7 linked regions of the Cricetulus griseus genome follow. The protein of the gene in region 1 interacts with the protein of each later gene in a pairwise test. Links are inferred from orthologs where the notes say so. Each region holds a gene or a part of one and is shown in the gene's direction. Other genes may lie near its edges.

Region 1 (3,500 bases):
GGACAGGACTGACCCCGCCTGGCCTCTGCTTCCTGGTGCAGGCCCCCTGCTCTCTGCAGAACACTGCAGTATCTTCAGTTCTGGTGAACTCTCACTGTGCAGGGTGCCTGCGCTTAGGAGCGGGCTTCACACGCCTTCACCTTGACGTTGAGTGCTTGGAAACATGCATGCATGTATGTATGTAGTGTGTGTATGTATGTCTCTCATGTCTGTCTGTCTCTAATTATGCAATTAACAAGGCTCTAAACCACACATGGAGCGTGCCTGTAGTTCACAAGTACTCAAAAGGTCACCACAAGTTTGTGGCCAGTTTGGTCCACACATCGAGTTCCAGGTCAGCCAAGGTCTACATTATGAGACATTTGTCTCAAAAAGGGAGGAAGGAAGGAAGAGAGGGAGGGAGGGAGGGAAGGAGGGGACGCAGTCTGCATAAAGATGCCATCATATAGTTTGTCAGCTACAACTAAGGGACTAAATTCTATATCAAATCTAATTTAAAACATTCTGTCAAGAGCTTGGCGGTGGTGGTGCACGCCTTTAAGCCCAACATTCCAGAGGCAGAGGCAGGCAGATCTCTGAATTCAAGGCCAGCCTGGTCTACCGAGAGAGTTCCAGCATAGTTAGGTCAGTTACACAGAGAAACCCTGTCTTGATAACCAAAACAACCAAACAAAAAAGTCCTGTGACATTTCTCTATTAATTGGGATTTCTGGAGGGTTATGGTGTACGTGAAAACGTGCATTTTATAGAGGAGACAAGCGGTTCTTAGAGAAGACAGAATACAAAGCTGCTTTTCTTGTTAGTGTTGAGTTTGGATCCCAATGGTTTCTCAGCTTCTGGAATCCTGGCACACTCTTTTACAGGTCATAGTCTTCAGTGGGTGTGGTCCTCTGTCTGGATGCGTGCACAGTACAGGTTGGCTAGCAGCTTGTTGACTGTGCCTTAGAGGAGAGTCACTGTTACCCAGCTCTCTGATGAGGTGGTTAAGGTCCTTTCCAATGATATGGATTAAACAATTATTTTATTTTAGCGAGGAGAACATTTGGAAGCTCTGTGAATACATCAAAACCCATGACCAGTATCCCTTGGAAGAGTGTTCCGCTGTCTTCATATCAAATGAGAAGAAGATGGTAAGTTGGTGAGTGATGGCGGTGACATCAGAAGCTCAGCGCAGTCTGGAAGCTATTCTGTTCTCAAATGTGCTTTGTAACAGCAGCCTTTCAAACAGCTTTCTTTTTCTTCATTAGATTTGGTTCAGGAGAATTTGGTCCCTTGCTTGTAGGTAATGAAGTATGTAATGGCATGTTTATGTAGAATGCACAAGCAACTTGCTTTTTGCAACAGAGTCTCATAGTGTAGACCTTGGCTGACCTGGAACCCATTGTGTAGACCACGCTGGGCACAAACTTGTGGGGACCCTCTGAGTACTGGGTTTATAGGCATGCTCTGTGTCTAGCTTGGGGCTTTTTTAATTGTATAATTAAGCCATATAACTCTGATTTGAAGTAAAGATTTGTGTCTGAAGTTTGAATAGAGCTGGAGTAAACTTTCAGGGAGCATTAGAAGTAGCCCTTTGGGATTTCCAAACACTTTTGTGGACGTTGCCTCATTCGGGGCTCTTAGAAGTTCTATGAAATAGGCAGGGTCTAAACGACTTTCTCTGTTTTACTTTATTGACTTTACTTTTGTTTTGGAGACGGGTCGCATGTATCTCAGCCCACTAGCTTCACAGTCATCACATAGCTGAGGCTGGGATTTCAGGCACGAGCCTCCGTGACCTGCTAACTTTCTCCACCTAATCCGTGAAGAAGATGAGATGCAGAGAGGGCTCATGAGTAACTGAGGACTGACCCCGCCTGGCCTCTGCTTCCTGGTGCAGGCCCCTTGCTCTCTGGAGAACACTGCAGTATCTTCAGTTCTTGTGAACTCTCACTGTGCAGGGTGCCTGCGCGTAGGGTTTAGATTTTATTCTTTCACCTTGATTGCTTAGAAACAGAAACGTTTTTGACTTCAGAATTTAACTTAATTTATCTATTTATCCTGAAATTGGGTCTCACTATGTATCCCTGACTGGCTTCAAACTCAGAGGACCACCTACCTCTGCTTTTGAGTGTTGGGATTAAAGGCATGTGCAACTATGCCTGGCTAATTTTTTAAAATGTTTACAGGTGCTTTGCCTACATACAGGTCTGTGTACCTTGTGTGCACTGTGCCTGCAGAGGCCAGAAGAAGGGCTTGGATCCCTTGGACCTGGAGTTAGAGATGTCTATTAGCTACCATGTGGGTGCTGGGAGCATTCTGTCTTCTCCAGGAGCAGCCAGTGTGTGAGTTGCCATGTGGGTGCTGGGAGCAATCCTAGGTCTTCTCCAGGAGCGGCCAGTGTGTGAGATCTGCTGTCCCATCTCCCCAGTCCACTAAGGAATAGTTTATTACTTACTAGTGTATTGGTGGTATAAAGAATCTAGACGGGTTTGAATGAGACTCACGAATGTCCTCTGTTTTGTAGGTACCTATTTGGAAACAGCAGGCAAGACCTGGGAATGGACCTGTGATCTGGGTAAGCTGGCCACCTAAGAGCCTCTGATGCAGTGTTCCTTGTGGCCTCTGAGTAACCAGTATGCTGTGGTGAAGCAGAGTTGAAAGGACTCTAGAGAAAGGCCATGACAGTCATTAGTAAAAGGATCTTTTGAGAATGGATGTTATTCTGTCTGTGGCAGAAGCTCTGTGGACATATAGTTGTCTAACTTTTGTTTTGGGATCTATAATGGTTTGTGTGTGAAAAGTCCTCTACGGGCTTCTGTGTCTGAATTCCTGGTCCCTAGCTGGTGAATCTATTCTGTGAGGTTGTGGAGCCTCTGAGACCCGAGGCCTGGCTGGTACAAGCGTGTCAGTGGGAATGGGCCTTGAAGGTTGTACCTACTTGTGGTTATAGCCTGTGTTCTCCCAGACTGTTGTCATGTGAGGAACAATTGTCTCGTATTCCTGCTGCCATGAACAGTCACTCCCATCATGCCTTCCTCATAGGATTGGTAGACTGTAGGATTGGTAGACTGTAGGATTGGTAGGCTGTAGTTGGTAGACTGTAGGATTGGTAGACTGTAGTTAATAGACTGTAGTTGGTAGACTGTAGTTGGTAGACTGTAGTTGGTAGACTGTAGGATTGGTAGACTGTAGTTTAGACTGTAGTTGGTAGGCTGTAGGGTTGGTAGATTGTAGTTGGTAGACTGTAGTTGGTAGGCTGTAGGATTGGTAGGCTGTAGGATTGGAGAATGTAGTTGGTAGACTGTAGGATTGGTAGACTGTAGTTTAGACTGTAGTTGGTAGGCTGTAGGGTTGGTAGGCTGTAGGATTAGTAGACTGTAGTTGGTAGGCTATAGGATTGGTAGACTGTAGTTGGTAGACTGTAGGGTTGGTAGACTTGTGGGCTATCTGTACACAGTGTGAAGCTGTATTGCTGTGATTGGTGTCATAAAAAGCTGATTAGCCAGTAGCTAGGCAGG
Region 2 (4,136 bases), on another chromosome or scaffold:
ATCTTCCATCTAACGAGGGTAACAAGTCACCAACGTACCAGAATTATTAACGACACACTCCCTGGCTTCAGAGGGCTGCTTGTCGTGTGAACTTGCATCCATCTGGAGATGGGGGAGTTAAAGACAAGAATAAAAAGTGAGAAATAATCCCACTACATGTAAAAAAAAAATGCGACGGAACTCTAACGAAATCCGTACTAGGGGTACACCTTGGGAAAGAATTCGGGGCGTTCTGGTGGAAGAAGTGCTATTGACTACACAATACTGACAAGTTGGGGCTTTTCATCCTTTGATCCCGGTCGGATAACAGACGTACCTCTCCCGCCCGAGGCCCGCAGGTTCCCACAGACGACGACGACAAGCGTCACGCAGGATTCACTTCAGAAAGCACCAGAGACAGGCTCAAGAAATGACCCGGGTGGGCCTCCTGCAGGCCGCCGCACGCCTGGACACACCACGTCCTGGAGAAGCGAACTAGCCTCACTACCCGCCAGCAAATTCAAACTGAGGCCACGCCCCCGCGGAGGGATCTCTGCGATTCGCAGCCTACGTGAGAGAGAGCATCCCGCTCCCTCCAGTCCTCACCGTCACGCTCTCGGACGCCGCAGGGAGACCTTCGTGTATCCCGGGAGAACTACTGCCAGCCCTGAATGATCCCCTAGCGAGACACATCTGCGGCAAAATGGTGTCCTGGGGACTAGCTAGGCGTTCTGCGGAGCAACACATCAGTTAACTGATAACCCCGCCCCTAACCTTTGGATTGGCTGCTGCAAACTTCGAAAATGAATCATTAGACCAATCATGACATAACCGCAGGATGGCTAGTCTACCCATTAGCCAATCCCGACACCAGCCGTTACCTTGGTGGGTGGGATAGTAGGAGGGGTTAAAGCAGAGCAGGGCGCTGACTGGTATATGGGACTTTAGCGTCCGGCCTCTTCCTTAGACTCCGACTCTTTATGCAAATGAGTTGCCCCACACTCCTGCGTGCGCCTGCTCAGTAACGCTTAGAGCCACCCTTTGCCAGTAGGTTTTGCTCTGATTCGCTGATATTCCTGTCCGTCAACCAGTCTTCAGCCTCTCTTTCCTCCCTCCGCCGACTGGCGTTTGTCTGAGCCCACCCCTCTGCGGAACTCTTATTGGCTGAATGCTGGCCGGCTCCGAGCGTTGATTGGCCTTGCTCAGTGTCGGTCTTGGCGCGGTTGGGGGAAGGGCCGCTCGCAGGCTTAAGGAGCCTAGGGGCGGGGTGGGAAGGAGGATCGGCCAACCCCGGGGTGTGGGACTGAGAGTACGTGCGTGAGGAGTGTGGGGCCGACCAGGAAGGTGGCGAAGGGCGGAGAGTCCGGGTGGGAGGCGGGAGGGGTCTCGCGGGCGCGGAGCGCGGCGGGTGGCGGGCCGGGGGTGAGGGTGGCGGCTCCCTCAGGACCCGGCGCGGGCGGCGCGATGCGGCGGGTCACGCTGTTCTTGAACGGCAGTCCAAGGAACGGCAAGGTAAGCGGCAGCGGGGGCGCGACCCGGGGACCCCGACAGTTTCCCGGCAGCCCGGCCACCGGGGCTCCAAGGCTGTCACCTGAGCGGCGGGCCGAGGTCCCCTCCCACCTTCCCGCTGCACCCTCCTGTCCTTATCGGTGCTGAGTAATGCTCAGCCCCGGGGGGAGGCAGAGATCACCGAGGCGGGTGACCCTGGCCAGGTCGGGGGAAGAAAACTCCAGCGGACAGAGTTGAGTGACATCCTCAGAATAGGTACCTGGTCTGCAATGCTTCCCTTCTCTTTTAAGGTGCCCTGGCCCCCCTTCCCTGCCACTGTACAAAACTTTTGTACACGTTTTATTGTGTCGCCTTGTTTGGGTCACTTGGAGAACGGTGACAGCAGACCAGAATGACTTAATTTGACAGTAGCCTTAGCTGCGTATAGGCCTCCGTGGAGGGCGTGGTGCTAAATATTTTTCCGATGTTGCAGCAGCCTCTTGCCCCACCCTTGAAAGTTATTCTTTGGAAAATGTGGGCTGTTGCTGGCGGACTTGTAATGTGTGGTTAGATGACTGCCCCACACAGAAGTAAGCCTATTTAAAGTCTCAGAAGTAATGAAGCCTTTTAAAGTTTAAGTTCAAGGTACATTGGTCCCACTCTATTAATTGGCCAGAATACTCTTAAGTCCTACACGTATACATAGCATGGGGGGGTTTCAACTTCTCTGCAGTTTTGAATAAACAGACTCTGGAAAACTGAACCACAGTGAGGTTTGCTCTGCAACTTTGTTTTCTTAAAATTTGCTGTTCATACAAAAATAGTCTTGGCATAAGCTCTGCCAGTGCTTCAGAAGTATGTGCCGCAAGGGTTCTATGAGTTCTGATCATTAACTTTTCCTTAACCAACTCTGTAGTTGGCTGGTTTTCATAAAGTAAGTCTATGTGGTTATTGAGAGATTTGGTATATCCAGTATTGATGTAAACTTTCACCTGTGCTGGTCTATGTGTGGTACTCCATGAAGTCTCGTGGATAGAGGTCCTTATAAATCCTCAACTCTATGTCTTCTGAATCCACTGAAGCTTATTGTCTAAAAGTTAAGTGAGTTGCTCTTTGTGTATTATTTAATTTTTTTTAAACTTCTAAAAAGTTTTGAACTTTGGGTTTGACTGTGAGTTTCCAATTTAAATCTTATTTACTTAAAATCTTGAAATCTCAGATGATTGGGGAAAGCACATCTCAGATAATTGTATGTGCATAGATTTTACAAAGATGATAAAGTCTGAACTGAAGAATACTAACATTTAATAATTAAAAGAAACTATACCTAGTACTTTCTACTAAGCTAGAGAACATATGTTCTAAAGCTGTTTCCTCTCCTTTTAGCTGATAGAAAAATATTAAAATGACTCTTATTTGACAAGATCACCATACTGCCTTTATATGTACACAGATGGATATGTAGCATATACATAGCAACTATATTTAGTAAGGGTTGTCGTAAACATGACATGGATGCTCATTAAAATAGTCCTAAATGAAGTGCTGCTCTGAAATAGTTTGGTTTCCTGTCTGTAAAGTAGAATATATCATTTAGATTGTCTCCTTTCTTACCTAGTTTCTATTTTTAATCCCTTAGTCATGAGAATAATCTTCTCTTCCAATGAGTTTCCCTCTTACAGCTTGTTTTGTGGTTATGAGCTGTGAGGTGGAAAGGCACAGATTTCATCACCATGCATGAGGATAGCAACATGCATTTTCTGTTTGTGTAACTGATAAGTGCTCTCAATGTTGTTGAAAGAGCTGGTTTCTCCTAAGTAAAATGAAATATGGAGAGCAGAAGATGACCCATTGGGATTTAGGAAGGGATGTATGTTATTTATGTTTTTACTTAAAACAAAATAATTTTAAAATTTGGCCTTCCTAATCTGGAAAAGCATGAGGGCCTTTAGTCACTGAACTTGTCAAGCCAGTCTTGTTTTTTTCTAGAACACAGGCCTACACATGTAAATAGGTTGATAGCCAGTACCAGTTGGTTCTCTTTGACATATGATATATAGAAGCTTTTAAGTACATTGGAGATTTACATCATTCAGTCTTAATTGAATTAGCCATCAACTATGCCAAGTGACTAAAAGATTACTTCAAAGAAATTGCAGATTGAAGCCAGTATTAATTATGCAGGTACAGTAAACATTGAGAAAGTGGCAAAGCTGACTGCTTTTCATAGCATTGGCTATAAAGTTAAAATAATAATAATAATAGGATGTCAGAAGCCATAGAGTGCCATGTTTTAAGATATTATTTGAAATTTTACATAATAACTGCTGTTAATAGTCAATTTCTTCCTTAGGGTATATTGTTCTTTGAACGATTAGCCAGTGGTCCGAGGAGGTCATTCTAATTACCAAGATGTGAAAAAAAAGTATTTTCCTGTACATGCAGGCAAATGGTCTTGAGTTGTTTTGTTCTGTTTTTCCTTTGCCTTAGTTTTTAAAAACTTTTTGGCTCAGAGGTTAAAAGCATTGCACAAGCAGCTTGTGTGATTCCACCAGTAATTCCAGCCCCTGAAGGCAAAGATGAGGGATCCCAGGAGGAAGCTGGCTAGCTAGACTGGCCATGGTGGCAAACTCAAGGATCAGTTGAGAGTCCCTGCCTCAATGGATAGG
Region 3 (4,284 bases), on another chromosome or scaffold:
TTAGCTTTCCACAGCCACAACAGAATGGAAGACAGCCAGGACTGGTGAGGTGGAGAGCTTGGGCTTTGAGTTTTCTTCTTTCATTTTCCTGTATGCATAGCTCCAGAGAGTAAGCCACCACTATCTGAACAAGCAGGACTCAGTTGTACAGGAAAATGTTATTCAAGCAGTTGGAAATTCCTTTCTCTTGGAGAGGAATTAGAGGGGAATAAAAAGGTGGGGCCTCTTTTCCTCTATATGTAGAAGAAGAAGAAGAAAACGAACACTCATAATGCTTCAACTAATTGGTCTGCAGTCAATATTTCCAGTATAGTTTCTTTCTTGCATGCCAAGGTAGCCAAGAATTTGTCATTATGCCTTAAGCAAGCCACACTTCCACATTTCATTTGCTTAAACTATTTCCTCCTGGAATTTATTATTTACCGATCTGTTGGACTCCATAAAACCCAGCTCAGAACAATTTGTTCTCAGAAGCTTTCTTTTACCCTCTGAGATAATTAGTAACCTTTCCCTTGTCATATTACTTGTTTGACTCCCCATTAAACTGAACTTTCAGAGGACAGGGACCATTTTGTTGTTCTGAGGTTCAGGTGACTGATACTTAAGGCATTTGGTATTTAGATCTTAGGTAAACACTTTTTAAATTTAAGTTTTTAATTTGATGAGTGGATGGTTGATGGCTGTGGGGGCTGCCTTGCCAAAGGTGTCCATTTGGATTAGTTACAGGATTTTATTCTTTTGAGATAGACTTTGAGCTCACCATCCTCCTGTCTCAAGCCCCAGTGCGAGAATTACAGATATATGTTGCATCTGATTCTCTGACAGCATTTAGTAGACGCTGATCTTCTGAGACAAAGATACACCTTAATGCCCTTTTCATTTCTAAGCACTGAAAACCATCGATCTAAAACCAGGACTGGCTGTTCCTTAAGGCTGAGGGAGGGTTCTGAAGGGTGACTCTGTTTTCAGGCCTGAGTCTGGTTTGAGAAGGTCGTTGCATGACATTCTCTCACCTGCCAATTGTAGTGTCAAACGTTTTCCTTTATTTTCCACTTGAGCTACTGTTTTACTATGCTGCCTAGAGTAGACCGGAACTCCTAAAATCAATCCTCCGGGCTCAGACACCAGAGTAATTCGGAGGACAATGCGCTGTTATCCTTGGCTAGGGTTTCCTTTAAGGACACTCTCAACGTGGTACTGGGCTGGAGCGCATCTGATAAGGGTGCCCAGCCACTGGCCTTTTCCAATTCTAACCCAGAGCTATCACAAATGTAGTGAAAGGGGAAGACACAACGATCGTGGGCAATTTAAAAATCCAGGCCTCTGGCTCCCATCCACTCACTGCTCCAGGGTATTTCTGATTGTCTAGCAAAGACTGAACAGCAGGAGGTGCAAGAGACTGCATCCATGCGGACTGACGTGCACCAAGCGCCGAAACCACCCCGGAGGAGCGCTTCCGGCGGGGAGGGCCGAGCTTGCACTGCGCAGCCGCGGAGGGAGGTGTTGGCCTCGGCCGGGGAAGCCGGAAGCGCTGGTCGCTCCCGGATAGCTGGCCTGAAGACATGAGCGTGGCGGGTGGCTTTCGCCGCCGTGCGCGACTGTCACGCCTCGTGTCCTTCAGTGCGAGCCACCGGCTGCACAGGTGGGGTGTGACCACGTGTGTCACCGCAAGTGCCGGGCTTTTCCCGCTACGTCCTCGGGGGCGTGGCCACACGCGTGGGTTTGAGCCGATCTGGGGCGGGCGGAAGAGGAAATGGTGAAGGTACGGAGCCGCAGTACTGGGCCTCACCCGGGAGAGGGCGGTAGAGCTCTGATCCCGCAGGCTCCACTCTGGAGAGGTCCCCTGGGGGCTGCCCCAAGTTCAGAGTCCTGCCACTCACCCAGAGCATCCTGAAGGCACAGTGACAGGAGCATGTTGCTATCGGGTGCAACACATGGTAGCTCCCCGCGACCCTTTTAAAAAATAAAATAAAGCGAAACAGCACGGTCGGGAATTGAATCCCACATACCCAACTCCGCACCTGAGTTTCGTTTTGAAGGGAGCTTCTCTGCTCACTAGAAGGTCTACTCTCTGAACCTCCATTTCCTTGTCTGTGAGAGAGAACAGTCATTTCTAACAGCACCCTTCCACTCCTTAATGGACAATGCTTTGTTCCGTGCTAGGAGACGGGTATATTGAAGGGAATACCAAATACTTGTCACTGCCCGGTATGTAGAGTTTAAAATGGTGGCCATGTTTTGTACAGTGAGATAATTTTCTGCAAAGCCTTGTGAACTGTAGTGCTTGGTAAGTGTAAGCAGAAGGAGAAAGTCAATGGGATAAGAAAGATCTTAAAGAATTTAATTTTTTTTAAAATTGTGTTTGTGTGTGCTTGTGTGTTATGTGAACAGCTTACATGAAGGAGCCTCTGGAAGCCAAAAGAGGGCATCAGATTCCTTGGAACTGGAGTTATAGGTAGTTGCGAACTGTCATGTGGGCACTGGGAGCTGAACCTTGGTCCTCTTCGATAGCAGTAAGCACTCTTAACTGCTAAGCCATCTCCAGCCCCTCAAAACGATTTTTATAGTGGGAAGCTTAAGCATGAGGTTAGTAAGGGTGCAGAAGATAAGGAGTTGGCTGAGTTGGGATAGATACACAAATTCATTGAGTACATTGTTTTCTGTCTGGAATGACAGCTATTGGAAATAATTTTGAAGTTTCACCTGATTTGAGTGTCCCTGAACATACTGGTAAGGTTTCCACTAGGCAATAGTTGAGACAGAGAAGAGTGAGCTTGTTAAAAGAAGAGCCTGGGGTCATTGTTTTCCAGGAGAAATTCGGTTTTTAAGCTGCTGGGGGGACAAGTATCTCTCCTGTTTATCATCGTTACTCCCTGCTTTGTTCTGCTCTTATCCCATAGCTAATACTCAGTGTTCCTTGAATTGAAAATTGGAAGTGGTATGTAACTCAGTGGGTAGAGTGCTTGTCTAGTGTGAGCCCAGGGCTCCATCCCCTGCCCTGCACAAGTCAGTATGTGTTACCAGGTCCCAGCACTTGTGAGGCAGAGGCAAGAGAATCAGAAGTTCAAAGCCATGCTAAGTTACATGGTGACTTTGAGGCCAGCCTAGGATACAGGAGACCTTGCCAAAAGAGAGAGAGAAAGCAGAGAGCAAGGGCTGACTGAGAGGATTTGTTGGATTCTTGCTGTGAAATAGGTGAGTTGAAATCAAAGTTTTTGATAATTTTATGTGGTACTTTGTTCGTTAGGGAGTGTGCATTGGTTCTTGATGGAAAGGTGGATAGATAGTGAAATTCAAGTGATCTCTTTGGTTGATCATCTAACGTGAAGTTAAGTTGTAGAGTTCTCAAAAGCCAGAGCAAAGCTAACAGAGGAATGTGGATGTCTTCCTGGCTCACAGTGACCTTCTGTCTTTCTTTCGTCAGCCCATCTCTGAGTGATGAAGAGAACTTGAAAGTGTTTGGGAAATGCAACAATCCGAATGGCCATGGACACAACTATAAAGGTGAGGGAAGAGCACAGTGACTTCTAACCTGTCTGTAAGAATGAAGTGTGTGTAATGTAGGTACAGGGGTCATGAATGAGAAGCCTTGTGGACAATGTCAGTGCTTTGAGCCCTCCAGTGGAAATTCAAGACAAAGAGCTATTGTCTTGGATGGGTAAGTGTATGGTTTGCCTCAGAGTTGTCTACTCTGTTAAAGATAGTAAAAAACAACAGCAACCAAAATGATTTAAAGCATTTTCTTTGACATTTGAATGCTTAATAAAACTGCTGTTAGCTGTTTCCTTTTAATTAGGCTAGGCTGAAACTAATGTTAAAATTTGATTATAATGACTGTTTGAGGAAACATAATGTTTAACTTGATTTAAACATCAAACTATGTATATATGGATTGAGACACCAAATAATATCCCTTTATATGTAGATTTTAAAAATATTTTTATTGTATCAGTTAAAATTTAAAATTAAAAACCCTTCATAGCAAAATAACTAAAAAATTTTATTTTGAGTAAAAAAATGACCAAATGAAAAGGGTCTGTTGCTTAGGGATGTACTGTGTGGCAGAAAATAGTTTATATATAAAATTTTGCAGGCAGTATTCTAAGACAGTAGTTTGTGGGAGGAAAAGGGACATTCTTCTTTGAGACATGCCTGGTGCCTCAAATCATGATACCTAAGCCCTAGAATGTAGTAGTGTGCCTTGAGTTAGGGTTACATAAGACTTTGGGAGGTCACGATTTCTGGTTTAGTTCCTGACTCTTCTTTTGTCTGAGATGCCTCCTA
Region 4 (3,500 bases), on another chromosome or scaffold:
CTAGGTCCATTGTTAGAGGTCCCATAGCCTGCCCAGGCCTCCTACCTAGCACCCACATTCAGAGGGCTTGATTTGGTCCAATGCTGCTTCCCCAGCTTTATGACTAGGGTCTCCATGCTCTCACTAGGTCAGGTCAGGAGTTTCTAGGGGTTTCTCCAGCATGGTCTTGGCTCTTTTGCTCATCCCTCCTCCCTCTCTACAACTGGATTCCAGCAGTATGGCTCAGTGTTTAGCTGTGGGTGCCTGCTTCTGCTTCGATCAGCTACTGGATGAAGGCTCTAGGTTGGCAAGCAGGTAGTCATCAGTCTCATTATAGGGGAAGGGCATCAAAGGCAGCCTCTCCACTACTGCCTAGATTCTTAGTTGGGGTCATCCCTGTGGATCTCTGAACATTTCCCTAGTGCCAGACCTCTCTCTAAACCTATACTTGCTCCTTCTATCAAGGTATCTCCTTTCTTGACCTCTTCTATTCCTCCCCTGTCTCAGTCTTCCTGATCCCTCTTGTTCTCTTCTCCCCTCCTCTTCTCTTCTTCCTACCTCCCTCCTCTCTCCCCCCATGCTCCCAATTTGCTCAGGGGTTCTTGTCCCACTCCCCTTCTTTGGGGTACCATGTGTTTTTCTCTTGGGATCCTCCTTGTTTCCTAGTTTCTCTGGTGGTGTGGAATGTAGGCTGGTAGTCCTTTTCTCTATATCTAATATCCGTATATGCGTGAGTACATACCATGCTTGTCTTTCTGTGATTGGGTTACCTCACTCAGGATATTTTCTTCCAGTTCCATCCATTTGACTTCGAATTTCAAGATTTCATTTTTTTCCCCTGCTGAGTAGTACTCCATTATGTAAATGTACCACATTTTCTCTATCCATTCTTTGGTTGAGGGGCATCTAGGTTGCTTCTAGGTTCTATTACAAACAACATACTTTGTTGAACATATGTCCTTGTTGTATGAATGTTCATTCTTTGGGTATATGCCCAAGAGTAGAATTGCTAAATATTGAGGTAGACTGATTCCCATTTTCTTGAGGAGTCGCCATATTGATTTCCAAAGTGACTGTACAAGTTGACACTCCCACCAGCAATGGAGGAGTGATCGTCTTTCTCCACATGCTCTCCAGCATAGACTGTCATTGATGTTTTTTATTTTAGCCACTCTGGCCCATGTAAGATGGTATCTCAGAGTTGTTTTAGTTGCATTTCCCTGATAGCTAAGGATGTTGAGCACTTTCTTAAGTGTCTTTCAGCCATTTTAAATTCTCTATTGATAATTATTTATCATTATCTAAAAGTGTATGTGCGTGCACGCACCTGCGTGTACATTTGAGGGAGTTGGGGAGACAGAGATGGACACAGTGAAAGAGAGACAGAGAGAGCTAAGAAAGATGAACTTGATATATTGTATAGTATAGTTGAATAAATGAGATGGTAAAAGAATTAATTATGAATGTTGCAAATTAAGGAATTTTATTTCTAATGCATATGATTAATTGACACACAATGTTTGTTTTGTCCTGTGATTCATATTAGCCATTTTAATGCATTATAAATGACATTTTGTCAGTTATTACTGATTAAGGTGAATGAAAAGCACAGTCCTTTATAGTAAACTTTGTCTTTAAAAAATTATTCCAACAGGAGCAGCCAAACTTTATGCCTATTGGATTGTAGTGAACTTTCGAGAGGCTTATAATCTCTTTGCGGTGAACGGCATTCTCTTCAATCATGAGAGTCCTAGAAGAGGTCAGTGAGTATGTTATCAAAGGAGAATTTGAGACTTTAACCACAGGAAATGGTGTATGTATATTCTGTTGATATTCTATAGGTTGAATGAGTTAACATCTACATATGTTATAAATGTCTGTGGTAAATGAAGAAATATAAACCAGCTTTAATTTATAAGAACTTTAGAAAAATTCTATGTGAAAAGCTGGACTGTGTGCCAAATTTACTAGTTTCATTAGTAGTTTTCAACCCAAGTATTGGCAAATTTCTGTGTGAATGCAAAGAATGAGAAAAGCTGCTGGTGGTTTCTGTCACTCATTACTGTTTACCTAGACTCAACCAGCTGAAAAGTAAGTCTCTTCCCTTTACATTCCATTAGAGAGACACCAGAAATGATTGTTTCTAAAAGATACTCTAAAATCATTTTGAAATAAGTTCTTAAGCATTATTGTTTTTGTTTGTTTGCTTTCCTGAAAACTTTATTTGCTTGCATGGGCTTAGTTATCATTGAGACTATTGGCAATATTTCTGTTTTCAATATTTAGTTTCTCATGTTTTAGTTAAACATGAGAAATATTAACCAAGCTACGTGTATTCTTATGGGAATAGAACCCACAATATCATTCTTTTCAAAGTAAAAATTATTTGTATAATCTAAATCAAAGACATTTTATTAAATTGAATGGCCATTTAGTCTTAGAGTGTAAGAATAAATAAGAAGACTTATAAATTGCTTCTTGCCCAATAACTAATAAGACATAACTATTTCAGTGAAATTTTATGTGACTATATACTCAAGTAATTAAGCCAACAAATCATAGAGAAAGATTAAAGTGACAGGTTTATAAAGGTGTCTTTAGCATCACATATTTTTTATTTTATAATTGCTTCAGTTAACAATTCCCATGACGGGCTGTTAAAGCATGAATGCCAACTTCCCATCTCTGATAACACACACACACACACACACACACACACACACACACACACACACACACACACCATTTCTTTAATTAATTTTATGTTCTGGGTATTGCTGGTAAGGGGATGTGGAAAGATAAGAGGGTTTTCTTTTTCCCTTGCAGCATCTGGTGTGTGCAGCAGGACAGGGTGGGGTGGGTGTAGGGCCACTTTAGGAATCTTCTTGCTGATGGTAAGCCTGTCTCTTTTATCACAAGCATGTTTGTATGTTTTGTTGGATTTCTGTATTTTTTTCCTCTTCAACCTGACCCATTCCTCCTATCCCTTCCACAAAAAAGTAAAAGTTAATTGCTGTAAGTCAGGTTAAGAGAGGAAAAAGCAATCTTAGGCTATACAGTAAAAAGATAATTTAAATATAATGTCTCTGCCAGTGCTCTATTTGTACTCTGTAAATGAAGCCTTTTTCATTAATATTGTTTTCTGAATTTTAAAATGTAATTATTTGTGAATTTCAAAGAAAAAATTAAAATGTTGCAGGAGGTCAAAAAAAAGTTCCTTACCTCATTTATATTAAGTTTCCTGTCACCAGAGTCGCTATTAACATGCCCAGAAATGTTCTTCATGCTTTCAGACCTGCAAAGATAGTTTTCCTGTATGTCATTCTGCAATGTAGGTGTCTGTTAAGTGTTCGTTAGACTTAATCTTGGGCATAACCATAACTTAGCAGGTGAAAGCTCTTTCTGTAGAAACCTTAAGACCTGAGTTTGACCCTCCAGAACTCACATTGGAGAGCTAACCCTCAAACATTGTCCTCTAACCTCTACATATGTGCTATGAAGTAATTCTGTCTGCCTGTCCA
Region 5 (3,964 bases), on another chromosome or scaffold:
ACGCCTTTAATCCCAGCACTTTGAAAGCAGAGGCAGGCAGATCTCTGCAAGTTCAAGGCCAGTCTGGTCTACAGAGTGCCAGGACTGGCTCCAAAGCTACACAGAGAAACCCTGTCTGGAAAACCCCAAAACCAACAAAAAGAGCTCCCAGCTCTATTTGATGACATACTCATGTAATCCAAGCTCAGAATGTCCAAGTTCCAGGCCAGTTTGGGCTACACAGTGAGTACAGGCTAGTGAGGCTGTAGAAAGAGATTAAGAACTTCCAAGTGTTCAGTAAGGCTTAGCACCAGTTTCCAGCTTGTAAAAGGTGGTGATAAGAATTCTTCACCCTTACATTGCAGCAAACTAAAGGCAGAGGAGGCCCAAAGGTTTGAGTTTTAAAATTCCTCATCATCAAGAACTGCGGGATCTCTAGAGGGCACACTGGCCTGTGTGAACACCCAGGCTCCGTCTACACACCATGCCATCCAATACCAACAGCAGAACAATAATCCAAGGCTACCGACTGAACTTGTGGTCTTGGGTTTGTGAAGGTCTAGCAGACTTCAGAAGGCCTGGGAGTCTCAAGTGTATGTCACCAAGGAGCCAATCTTGTTGTGAGGTGAGGTGGCTCAGCCAGTTAAGTACTGACATAGGTGTTCAATTCCCACTACCCAAGTTGTCAGATAATGGACTCCTGCAAGTTGTCCTCTATGACCCACACAAGCCTGCACTCAAGCACACAAAGTACAACTTAAGTAATAAAATGCAATTACACAAAAAAGTTGTGTTGTTAGAACTTGAGTTTCTGGGGAAAACAAAGTCAGGTTTTCAACAGGTCTCTCCTTTTTTTTTTTTTTTTTTTTTTTTTTTTTGCACTGTTTTTTGAATGCGTGTACAGCCAGAAAAGTTCTCGGAGTTCACCTGACGGTGTAAACACTTTACCTCAGGGCAGACAGTTGTTGGTTTTCTAGACAGCTGCTATCCTGACCTTCCGGACAGAAAGGCGGGAGTCAAGGCGGGCGATTTGCTCGCTAGGTCGCACGCATTGTGGGGCTTGTAGTCCAGATTGCCTCAAGGCTTGAGGCCGCTGACTCCTCGGGACTACATTTCCCAGCAGCATGCGCTCAGCAATGCGCGCGGATTAGGTTGCTCGAGCGAGCCGATTTCCGGAGGCGCGGGGGGCGGGGCGGCCGCAGAGGCTGGAGCGAGGTGGCGGGATGCAGCGCCCCGGGCCCTTCAGCACCCTCTACGGGCGGGTCCTGGCCCCACTGCCCGGGCGGGCCGGGGGCGCGGCCTCGGGCGGGGGCGGGAACAACTGGGGCCTCTCGGGCTCCCATGTGCAACTGCCGGGGCGTGCACAGTCTGAGACCCACGGCCACAAGGGAGGCTCGAGCGCGGGCGGCCCAGCCCCCTCCACGATGTCCAAGGCCGAGGAGGCTAAGAAGCTGGCGAGCCACACGGCGGTGGAGAACCACGTGAAGGTGGGCAGCTTGTGGCGGCGTGATGGCTTCGTGCTGCGCCTGACGCCTGACGCCTGAAAGGGAGGGGGGCGGCAGCAGGAGAGGGAGAGGGTGAGCCTTGTATCCGAATACACGCTGCTCTTCCCAACCCCTGAAAGGCCTTGTAGACGTCGAATTGGTAGGTGCCAACTCTCCCCCAAATAGAGCCCCCCACCCCACCAAGATTTCCTGTCCGGCTGCAACTGAGTGTACCGAGGAGCCTGGCATTACCCTGTTGAGAGTCTGTCAGGTTGTTAATGCCTGCCTCCTTCCTAGTCAGCCCATTGAAAATGGTGAGCCCTGAGGCTGCCTCGAGTTCTTCACTTCTCATTCTCCGGAAAGCCACTGGAGAACTGGTTTGCAAAGAGTTTTTGAAATTTTACTCCAAACAAGCTTTTCAGCTCCTCCTGCTTGGGAACTTGAGTGCAATCTTTACAAAGAAGCCATCAAGTTAAGCCTTGCTGTTGACAGGGCCGGGTGGACACGACACCTGGAAGTGGTGTTCTTCAGGTGGAGTCCAGATGTTTAACAGTTACTCAGTCAGGTTGCGTCCCCATTTGGCTTGTTAAGTGGCAGGTGTGGTGCTATGAGTGGACTCTCAGTGTAGCAGGTTAATTATCTTAACTGTATTATTTCTGCAGCCCTGTGGTGGAGTTTCCTGGTCTCGGTTTCTGCTTCTTAGATAGGGTTATCAGAATCCATTTCTGCATAAAAGGAAGTTTTTTTTTTTTTTTCCATTTGCTAGTGTTATGCTGCACAAAGCTGCTTTGCAAAGATGATGTTCTTAGAGATTTTTCTAACTTCCTGCCATGCGTGAGGGCGGCCTGAGTGGGTGGGTCCGGGTCTGATAACCTCTGGCTCAGTCTGTTCTACACCACTCTTGTTTCAGGCAGGGTTTCTATGCTCTTCTGTTCTGGTGTAGCTCTTTGCTCCTTTAGTTTGCATAGGATTTTATACTCGATTTAAGAGGGTGTAGGGTATATGAGTATGAACGTAAAATGAGTGATTTGGCTTTGTGTTTGGAATTTGGTGCCACAGCTGTAAAACTGGAACGTAAAGTGAAATTTCAAAATACCTTCATGAAGTGACTTAACAGATTGGTAAATGCAATCTATACCTTAGGAGAGCCCCTTATCTAAGCTATCGTTTAACGTTTAGTGGCACATGTCTCCCTGACCTTTGTTTTATAGTTACGTATTTGATTAAACTAAAATCTGCAAGCTTTCATCTCATGTTAGAGTCCCCAAACACTGGATTCTAGCTATACTCAAAGAATTACCAGAGAATCCTTGGGAGATCTCTATTGAATTTTGGGAATGTCTTCAAATAGGGTTGTTTGTCCTGTAGGGTTTGATTCAAAGGTCTTTACTATTTCCAGTTTTCCCTTGGCTTCCTAAGGACACTAGAAGATAATTTCCTCTTCCTATTTGGAGACTCAGGCTGACTAGCAGCTTGCCAGGAACTTGATATGTGAACCACGCTGGCCTTGAGTGCTGGGATTAAAGGTGTGCACCACCACATACCTAGATGCTCTGATTCTACCGCCTAAGTGCTGGCATTATAGGTATGTGGTGCTACACTCAGCTTCCTTCAATTGTTTATGACTCCAGACACTTGTGACCTATGCTCTAGTCCTCTGTGCATTTCTCTTGCCTAACTCCCCATGAGCTCTGGGAGGAGACTTATCGTTATCTGCACATTCAGTGTTGGGTACAGTGAGACCTGCTTAGGCAATGTTCATTGGGTTGTGTAGAGTGTGAACACTGATATGGTGGTTGTGGGTTATGGAGGCCCTTTTCCTAGGCTCTCTGAGTTTGGGGTTTCCAGTCTCCCCAATCTCCGCTGACTGTTTCTACTTCAGAGTAGATGGAAAACTCAGAATTCTCAGTTGAATCTTTGCAACCAGGTCCAGACCTGCCTGATTCTAAAAATGTAGTTATCTTGGATGTGTTACTGTGCTGTCCTCATGGCCTGTTGCTTCATCCTTTGCTCTTTGTGAGGCCTCGGCTTTGTTTTGAGATCAGCTTAGCTTGAGGAAACTAGTGAGCAGACACTAGTATTAATATTATTATTAGTAGTAACATTGGTAGTTTGTTTTTTGAGACAGTCTCACTAGATAGCCCTGGTTGCTGTGGAATTCACTATGTAGACTAGGCTGGCCCTCAGACTCTCAAGAGATTTGCCTGCCACTAACTCTCAAATGCTGGAATTAAAGGTGTGGACCACCACACCTATCGAATTCTGTGTTTTCAGTCTGATAAAAGCCTGTTTTACTAACACACTGTTCCAGACTCATCACATATCCCGCCCCTCCCCCCAACCCACCAGAGCCAATCTCATAGATTTTTGAGATCACCCCATTGGACACTATACTGTTTAGGACTGCCCATTAGAAGGGCTGTCAGCTGTTGGGCTAGTTTGCAGGCAGCCCTTGGCCACTTCTAGTTGGACTAGGGCACAGACTCCTGCCTCTGTCATTT
Region 6 (2,425 bases), on another chromosome or scaffold:
AACAGACCAGAGCCTTACCCACTTAATGGCTCCCTGTCCAAGACCAGACATAAGCCAGTGCACTCCCTTGATAGTCATACATGACTAGGCCCAGGGAAGGTAGCCAAGGAAGGGGCTTCCCTCTTGTTGCCTTGCTGTGTGAATGAGATTAGAGCCTGCAGAGGCTGGAGGCAGCCTCTAGCATGACCAGTCCACAGGCTGGAAGCTGTCTCCCTTATAAGCTAGGGAACCGGAGGCTGGAGGCTGCACAGACTGGGTGATTCCAGTCACAGGTGCAGGGCATGACTGCCAGGAAGATGGGCCATCAGGTGGGGGTAAAGAAGTAGCTGGGCATGTCTGTCTTGGATGGAGGTGGGGTCCTCCTTTTGGGGTTTGGGAGGCTGAGAGTATTTCCCAGTTCTGCTGCCTCCATGATGTGTCCTGCTGCGAGATCCCCCAACTCTGGAATCTGTCCTTTATATAAAGACCCTGTGATTCCCACTACCACACCATGGCTCCCCCGATGTGGGCCAGGCTGGCTTGGGTCTTAGCAGAAGCCCTCGTTGGGTGCCCAGGAGGAGCAATGGGCAGGGGCCTGAGGAGGTTCTAAGGGCCTATCACAGTATCTATTCTGGTACTATTTGCTTATGGCCTCGTGGCTTCTGCATACCCAGTCCACATCCAGGGTCCTCAGTCTTCCACTCAGGGTCTCAAAGGCCACATTCATGGCTGCCAGCCACATCTGTAATCGGTCCAGGTGCAAAGGCAGCAGACCAGCTCCTCGTGGCTATTGGTTAGAGGCCATTTCCTGACTAGCTGTTGACCAGGAACCGTTCTTAGACTCCAGTGATGCCTGCAGGTCCCTGCCATGTGTCTCCTTACAGTGCAGCAGCTTGCTCTGTTAGCAGGGAGTATCGGACTTCTCAGATTTTGAGCTTGTATCTGTCTTGTGAGTTCATCTGATTAGGCCAGGCCTACCCAGGTATCTCTCTCCCTTGGGAGGGATTCAGTCAGGTAGCCGAGTAGGGTCCTGGGTCCATGGTATACGTAGAGGCCTCTGACAGTTGTGTTTTTCCCTAAATGTCAGTTGTCATTCATCTTGACAGTTTGCTGGCGGGCCTAGCCTTTGGTGGCTGAGCCATCTCTCTAGCCCAATCATTAAATTCACCTTAAAAATCACTTCAGCGAGCCGGGCAATGGTGGCACACTTTAATCCCAGCACTTGGGAGGCAGAGACAGGCAGATCTCCGTGAGTTTGAGGCCGGCCTGGTCTACAGAGCGAGTTCCAGGACAGCCAGGACTGTTTCAGAGAGAAACCCTGTCTGGAAAAACCAAAAAAAAGGAAAAAAAAGATCACTTTAGTGCTCTCTATGTCCCTTACCTAATTGGCGTCAGACCCCCCCACCTCTGCCACATGGCAGGCCAGAGACAGAAGGCATGCCCAACATTCATCAGGTTCCTCCACTCTAGGGGCAGACATCACATGGATGTACCCATCAGGCGTGGTATTTGGGAAGGGTGAAGCCACTCAGAGCTCTGCCCATCAGAAAGCCAGAGAAAGAAGCATGGAAGCAGGGTGACTGTAGGGTCACCGTGGTGCGTCAGCATTTCCTGTTCTACTCGACAGGTCTGGAGTAGGACTGACTGGCTCCAAGCAGACCATGTTCTACGCGGAGGTGACAGATGCCCAGCGAGGTGGGCCTGGTGGAGGCCTGGCTGAGGAGGGAGAGCTCATAGAGGTCATACATCTGAACTTGGATGATGCCCAGGCCTTTGCGGATAATCCGAATATCCCCAAGACTCTCGGTGTCATCTTTGCTATCTCTTGGTTCTTTAGCCAGGTGGCTCCCCACCTAAATCTCCAGTGAGACCCTGGGGCTACACAGCCCTGTCCCATCCACTCAGCCTCCTGACCCGCACACTCAATAAAGGTTTTATAGTTTTCAGTGTTGGCCACTGGCTTTGAGCACTGTGACCTGGGGTGAGGAACAGTGTCTTCAGGGGTAGCAAGGTCTCCATACAAACCCTTCTGTTCCTCCTCAGACTCTGTAAGTGGATGCACGGGAGGCAGATGGCTGTCTGGGATGCTGTCAGGTGGAGTAGACAGCTCAGGAGGGGCCCAGGTTAAATGTTCAGTCTTGGAACACTGCGCACAGCATGAGCTGTATATGCAGGAGTAGACACTGAGCGTACTGCCAATTCCAGACAGTGTGTACTCCCTGATCTGGGCAGATGCAGGGTCCCTGCCATGCCTGGGGTTGGGCTAGAACCACACTGCTACCACCCAGGAACTCAAGTGCCAGGGATACTTCGTATCTGGCTTCTCCAGTGCCCTCTCCATGACTCATGGGCCACAGTGGCGGTCGTCTCCCTTGGCCTGCAGGACACAAGCAATGTCTGAAGACTAGGCTATGATGAGCATCTAGGGCAGTCGTTTTTGGTGGGG
Region 7 (3,500 bases), on another chromosome or scaffold:
GAGTGTCATATGGGCAGTAAGTAGATGGAAAGATTCTGTAGGTCTAAAGGAAGTTGTGTCTTTGCTGTCTGTAGTAGGGGGGGTATTGAAGAGTTTTAAAGGAAAATTGGGTGGGACCTGCTCTGTGTGTATTCAGATGGGAATGGAGGGTGAGAGGTGAATGAGCGGACCAGGATGAATGGTGATAGCAGCAGAAATAATGAGTGGCTGCCATTTGTGCAGAAGTCTTCCTTGGGGCTCTAGGGACCAGGACATGTCCTAGAGAGGAGATGAGGAACTTGTGGAGCTGGGCAGAGCATGTGATCCTGCCCACTGTTCATCCTGGGGAGCCACTCTAGCCCTTCTTTGGCTAGTTTGGGTTATATTGAGACAGCATGACAAAGAAGACCTGGAAGGTCATGCTCCTCTTCTTGTTTATGACAAGGGACAGCTTCAAATGAGGGTAAAGGAGTAAAGTGGAGAGAGAGTGGGGAGGAGTGGAAACTGTGACAAATAGGACATATGTCCATGGGTAGCAGCTACTCCACTCTAGCCTCTTGTTGCATAGGGCCTATGCAGGTATCAAGGATACTAGGCTTCCAGGATCTAATGCAAAACGTGTGTGTGTGTGTGTGTGTGTGTGTGTGTGTGTGTGTGTGTGTGTGTGTGTGTGTCCCTCCCTCTCTCCCTCCATTCTGTAAGCTTCAGAGGCTCCCTGGTCTAATCTGGAAGGGATCTAGAGATGCAGCCCACTTCCCGATGACTTGGTCTTTTGTTTCTTTATAGGCAGATAAGAAGGACCCACAAGGCAATGGTACGGTGGCTGGGTTTGAACTACTGCTGCAGAAGCAACTGAAAGGCAAGCAGATGCAGAAGGAGATGTCCGAGTTCATCCGGGAAAGGTGAGACCAAGGCCCAAGCAGTCCTGGAGCTGGCTACAGGGCCCACTCTGAGCCCTGGACCCCAGGGGAGTGGATGGATGGTCATGCTTAGCCCTGGGAAAAAACGTGGCCAACAAATGTGTGGTGTAGCATGGAAAATGTTTCTAAAGATTTGAAACAATATCCAAAAATATTCATACCCTTTGTACTCCTAATCCCAGCATTTGGGAGTTGAAAGACTGTCAGGAATCCAGCACTCAGGAGGTAGAGACAGGTGGATCTCTGTGTGTTCAAGACCAGTCTGGTCTACAGAGAGAGTTCCAGGACACCCAAGGCTGTTTTATAGAGAAACCTGGTCTCAGAAAAAAAAAAAAAAAAAAAAAAAAAAAAAAAAAAAAGGTCAGGAGTTCAAGGTCAACCTCAGTGTGTAACAGGTTTATGACTTGTCTGAGCTACTTGAGGTCTCTCTCTCCCCTTCTCTCTCTCTCTCTCTCTCTCTCTCTCTCTCTCTCCTCTCTCTCTCTCTCTCTCTCTCCATATTGGGAGAGGGAGGAGAGAGAAGAGAGGGAGGGACACACACACACACACACACACACACACACACACACACACACACACACACACGTTTTGCATTAGATCCTGGAAGCCTAGTATCTCTTGATACCTGCATAGCCCCTATACAACAAGAGGCTAGAGTGGAGTAGCTGCTACCCATGGATGGGGTATGTGTCCTATTTGTCACAGTTTCCATTCCTCTCCACTGTACTCCTTTACCCTCATTTGAAGCTGTCCCTTGTCATAATCAAGAAGAGGAACATGATCTTCCAAGTCTTCTTTTTTTTCTTGAGACAAAGTCTCACTGTGTAACCCTGATTGACCTGGAACTCACTATGGAGACCAGTCTGGCCTCGGACTCAGAGATCCACCTGCCTCTGCCTCCTGAGTACTGGAACTAGAAGTATGTGCTACTCCTGGCCTTCCAGGCCATCTCTTAATTAAAACTGTTTCCCAGGCCAAGAGATATAGAACCATCCTTCCACCCCACCCCTACCTCTATGGATTCTAATAGCCCTGTGTCTGAAGAGCTTGGGTCATAGATAAAGAAGTAATACATTGAGCTCATGGAAAGCATGAAGAGCTGCAGAGAAGTCCCCTCTCCATCTTTCTCCTCTCTGTCTCTCTTGTTTATATTGCAGCATAACCTGCATGCCCGTGCACAAACGCACCTGTACACCATCACACCTGCTCACACACACATCTGCGTACCCACACATTCTAGCCTCTACATGCTCTAACACCTAAATATCTGTGTACCTACACAGCCATGAATCAAATCCCCACACAAATATACACCTGGGCACCTGGACTCACACACGCCCCTACATCTTACCCCTATCCCTATATCCCTGTATGCCTATACACCCATGGCCCCATGTGACTGCATACCTGTGTACCTGCATGTCTGCATGCCCACACACCTGTACACTCACACATCCATCACACCTACATATCCAAGTGTCTGCACACCCACATCCCTGTGCACAGGCAGCTGCACAGCCACACACCTGTACACTCACACACCTTTATGTACACACGCCTGCACATGTATGCTTCTGCACACCCGCATGCCTGTGCATCCATACCTGCATACATGTGCACACATCTACACATTGGTATACTTGCACACACACATACACATACCTGTACATCTACACACCACACACCTGCATACTTACACACCCATACATCTGTATACCCACACACCTGCACGCACACACACCCCCCATCAACACATTTTTTTTCACAAAGCATATACACAGCTTTCCAGCCAGAGTTTCCAAGACTTGCTGGAAATATTCATGGCAAATAACAAAGATCTTTTAAAAGTATTTCTTCATTATAACACTAGTAATCGGGTAATAATGCTCTGGCGTTTTTAAAGCCCGTTTTTCCTTAGGAGGCCCATTTTCCATTTGTATAATCAAATCTTTATTTTATGACCCATTAAACTAGTAGGAAATTGGAAGGCTGCTTTGTTCAGATGCAAGAAAACAGAAGCATAAAACAGAAAAATAGGAAGCAATAGGAGCTGAAGCCTCAATATGCATATGGTTTACACTCATAACAATGTCCTGTTGGCAAATGAATGGTTTCTGTCATCTCCGGCCACTGAGGTCTCTGGGAGCCAGCAGAGGGAATTCAAATCCCTGGAACGTTTCTCAGCCCACATATGGAGCTCTTGGGAAGCCTATCAGAGACAGGAGAGCCAGGCTGCAGGGCTGGGACTTGTGGGTTTGCTGGGCTGAGGGAAGTGGGCAGGAGGTAGAGATGACACAGGCTGCCTCACAGCAGAGGCTCAGGAGGCAGATGGCGTGTGCACCTCCTTCTCCTGGCACTCACACTTGGCCTTGTGGCATGATGAGATCTGCTTTCTGGAGATCTTGGCCCCAGGTTGAAGTTGCATGGTAGGGGTCTACGTAATTGGGAATGGAGGCAAAGACAGGACGAAGATGGGTTAGTGTGAAACCCAGGAGCTTTCAGACAGGCTCCAGTCAGAAGTGAGGGGTGAGCATTTGTGCAGAGGCTGCAGCAGGTCCTCATGATCATCCTCTACGACCCCTGCATCCTTTGGGCTTTAGC

The links.
Region 2: the proteins of protein N-terminal glutamine amidohydrolase (region 1) and Kctd9 interact in binary tests that used the Homo sapiens proteins (3 or more experiments, as listed by UniProt). The link is inferred for Cricetulus griseus from reciprocal best matches to the Homo sapiens genes NTAQ1 and KCTD9.
Region 3: the proteins of protein N-terminal glutamine amidohydrolase (region 1) and Pts interact in binary tests that used the Homo sapiens proteins (3 or more experiments, as listed by UniProt). The two-hybrid records come from large-scale screens. The link is inferred for Cricetulus griseus from reciprocal best matches to the Homo sapiens genes NTAQ1 and PTS.
Region 4: the proteins of protein N-terminal glutamine amidohydrolase (region 1) and Gmds interact in binary tests that used the Homo sapiens proteins (3 or more experiments, as listed by UniProt). The two-hybrid records come from large-scale screens. The link is inferred for Cricetulus griseus from reciprocal best matches to the Homo sapiens genes NTAQ1 and GMDS.
Region 5: the proteins of protein N-terminal glutamine amidohydrolase (region 1) and Rpia interact in binary tests that used the Homo sapiens proteins (3 or more experiments, as listed by UniProt). The two-hybrid records come from large-scale screens. The link is inferred for Cricetulus griseus from reciprocal best matches to the Homo sapiens genes NTAQ1 and RPIA.
Region 6: the proteins of protein N-terminal glutamine amidohydrolase (region 1) and Nudt14 interact in binary tests that used the Homo sapiens proteins (3 or more experiments, as listed by UniProt). The two-hybrid records come from large-scale screens. The link is inferred for Cricetulus griseus from reciprocal best matches to the Homo sapiens genes NTAQ1 and NUDT14.
Region 7: the proteins of protein N-terminal glutamine amidohydrolase (region 1) and Gas7 interact in binary tests that used the Homo sapiens proteins (3 or more experiments, as listed by UniProt). The two-hybrid records come from large-scale screens. The link is inferred for Cricetulus griseus from reciprocal best matches to the Homo sapiens genes NTAQ1 and GAS7.

The regions. Positions count from the first base shown.
Region 1 is NC_048603.1:29,479,147-29,482,646, reverse strand, and holds part of protein N-terminal glutamine amidohydrolase, read left to right. Parts: intron 1-1,030; coding exon 1,031-1,130; intron 1,131-2,506; coding exon 2,507-2,557; intron 2,558-3,500. UniProt on the Homo sapiens protein: Mediates the side-chain deamidation of N-terminal glutamine residues to glutamate, an important step in N-end rule pathway of protein degradation.
Region 2 is NW_023276807.1:222,713,853-222,717,988, forward strand, and holds the start of Kctd9 (BTB/POZ domain-containing protein KCTD9), read left to right. Parts: upstream 1-1,336; 5' UTR 1,337-1,443; coding exon 1,444-1,491; intron 1,492-4,136. Other genes in the region: Cdca2 (cell division cycle-associated protein 2), read right to left, coding at 39-102, 586-672. UniProt on the Homo sapiens protein: Substrate-specific adapter of a BCR (BTB-CUL3-RBX1) E3 ubiquitin-protein ligase complex, which mediates the ubiquitination of target proteins, leading to their degradation by the proteasome.
Region 3 is NC_048597.1:162,282,810-162,287,093, reverse strand, and holds the start of Pts (6-pyruvoyl tetrahydrobiopterin synthase), read left to right. Parts: upstream 1-1,484; 5' UTR 1,485-1,562; coding exon 1,563-1,642; exon of another isoform or gene 1,643-1,762; intron 1,763-1,848; exon of another isoform or gene 1,849-2,208; intron 2,209-2,484; exon of another isoform or gene 2,485-3,195; intron 3,196-3,424; coding exon 3,425-3,504; intron 3,505-4,284. UniProt on the Homo sapiens protein: Involved in the biosynthesis of tetrahydrobiopterin, an essential cofactor of aromatic amino acid hydroxylases. Catalyzes the transformation of 7,8-dihydroneopterin triphosphate into 6-pyruvoyl tetrahydropterin.
Region 4 is NC_048596.1:252,836,242-252,839,741, reverse strand, and holds part of Gmds (GDP-mannose 4,6 dehydratase), read left to right. Parts: intron 1-1,633; coding exon 1,634-1,738; intron 1,739-3,500. UniProt on the Homo sapiens protein: Catalyzes the conversion of GDP-D-mannose to GDP-4-dehydro-6-deoxy-D-mannose.
Region 5 is NC_048601.1:62,432,077-62,436,040, reverse strand, and holds the start of Rpia (ribose-5-phosphate isomerase), read left to right. Parts: upstream 1-1,164; 5' UTR 1,165-1,202; coding exon 1,203-1,466; intron 1,467-3,964. UniProt on the Homo sapiens protein: Catalyzes the reversible conversion of ribose-5-phosphate to ribulose 5-phosphate and participates in the first step of the non-oxidative branch of the pentose phosphate pathway.
Region 6 is NC_048598.1:181,120,708-181,123,132, forward strand, and holds the end of Nudt14 (uridine diphosphate glucose pyrophosphatase NUDT14), read left to right. Parts: intron 1-1,606; coding exon 1,607-1,847; 3' UTR 1,848-1,925; downstream 1,926-2,425. UniProt on the Homo sapiens protein: Hydrolyzes UDP-glucose to glucose 1-phosphate and UMP and ADP-ribose to ribose 5-phosphate and AMP. The physiological substrate is probably UDP-glucose. Poor activity on other substrates such as ADP-glucose, CDP-glucose, GDP-glucose and GDP-mannose.
Region 7 is NC_048600.1:81,542,711-81,546,210, forward strand, and holds part of Gas7 (growth arrest-specific protein 7), read left to right. Parts: intron 1-765; coding exon 766-881; intron 882-3,500. UniProt on the Homo sapiens protein: May play a role in promoting maturation and morphological differentiation of cerebellar neurons.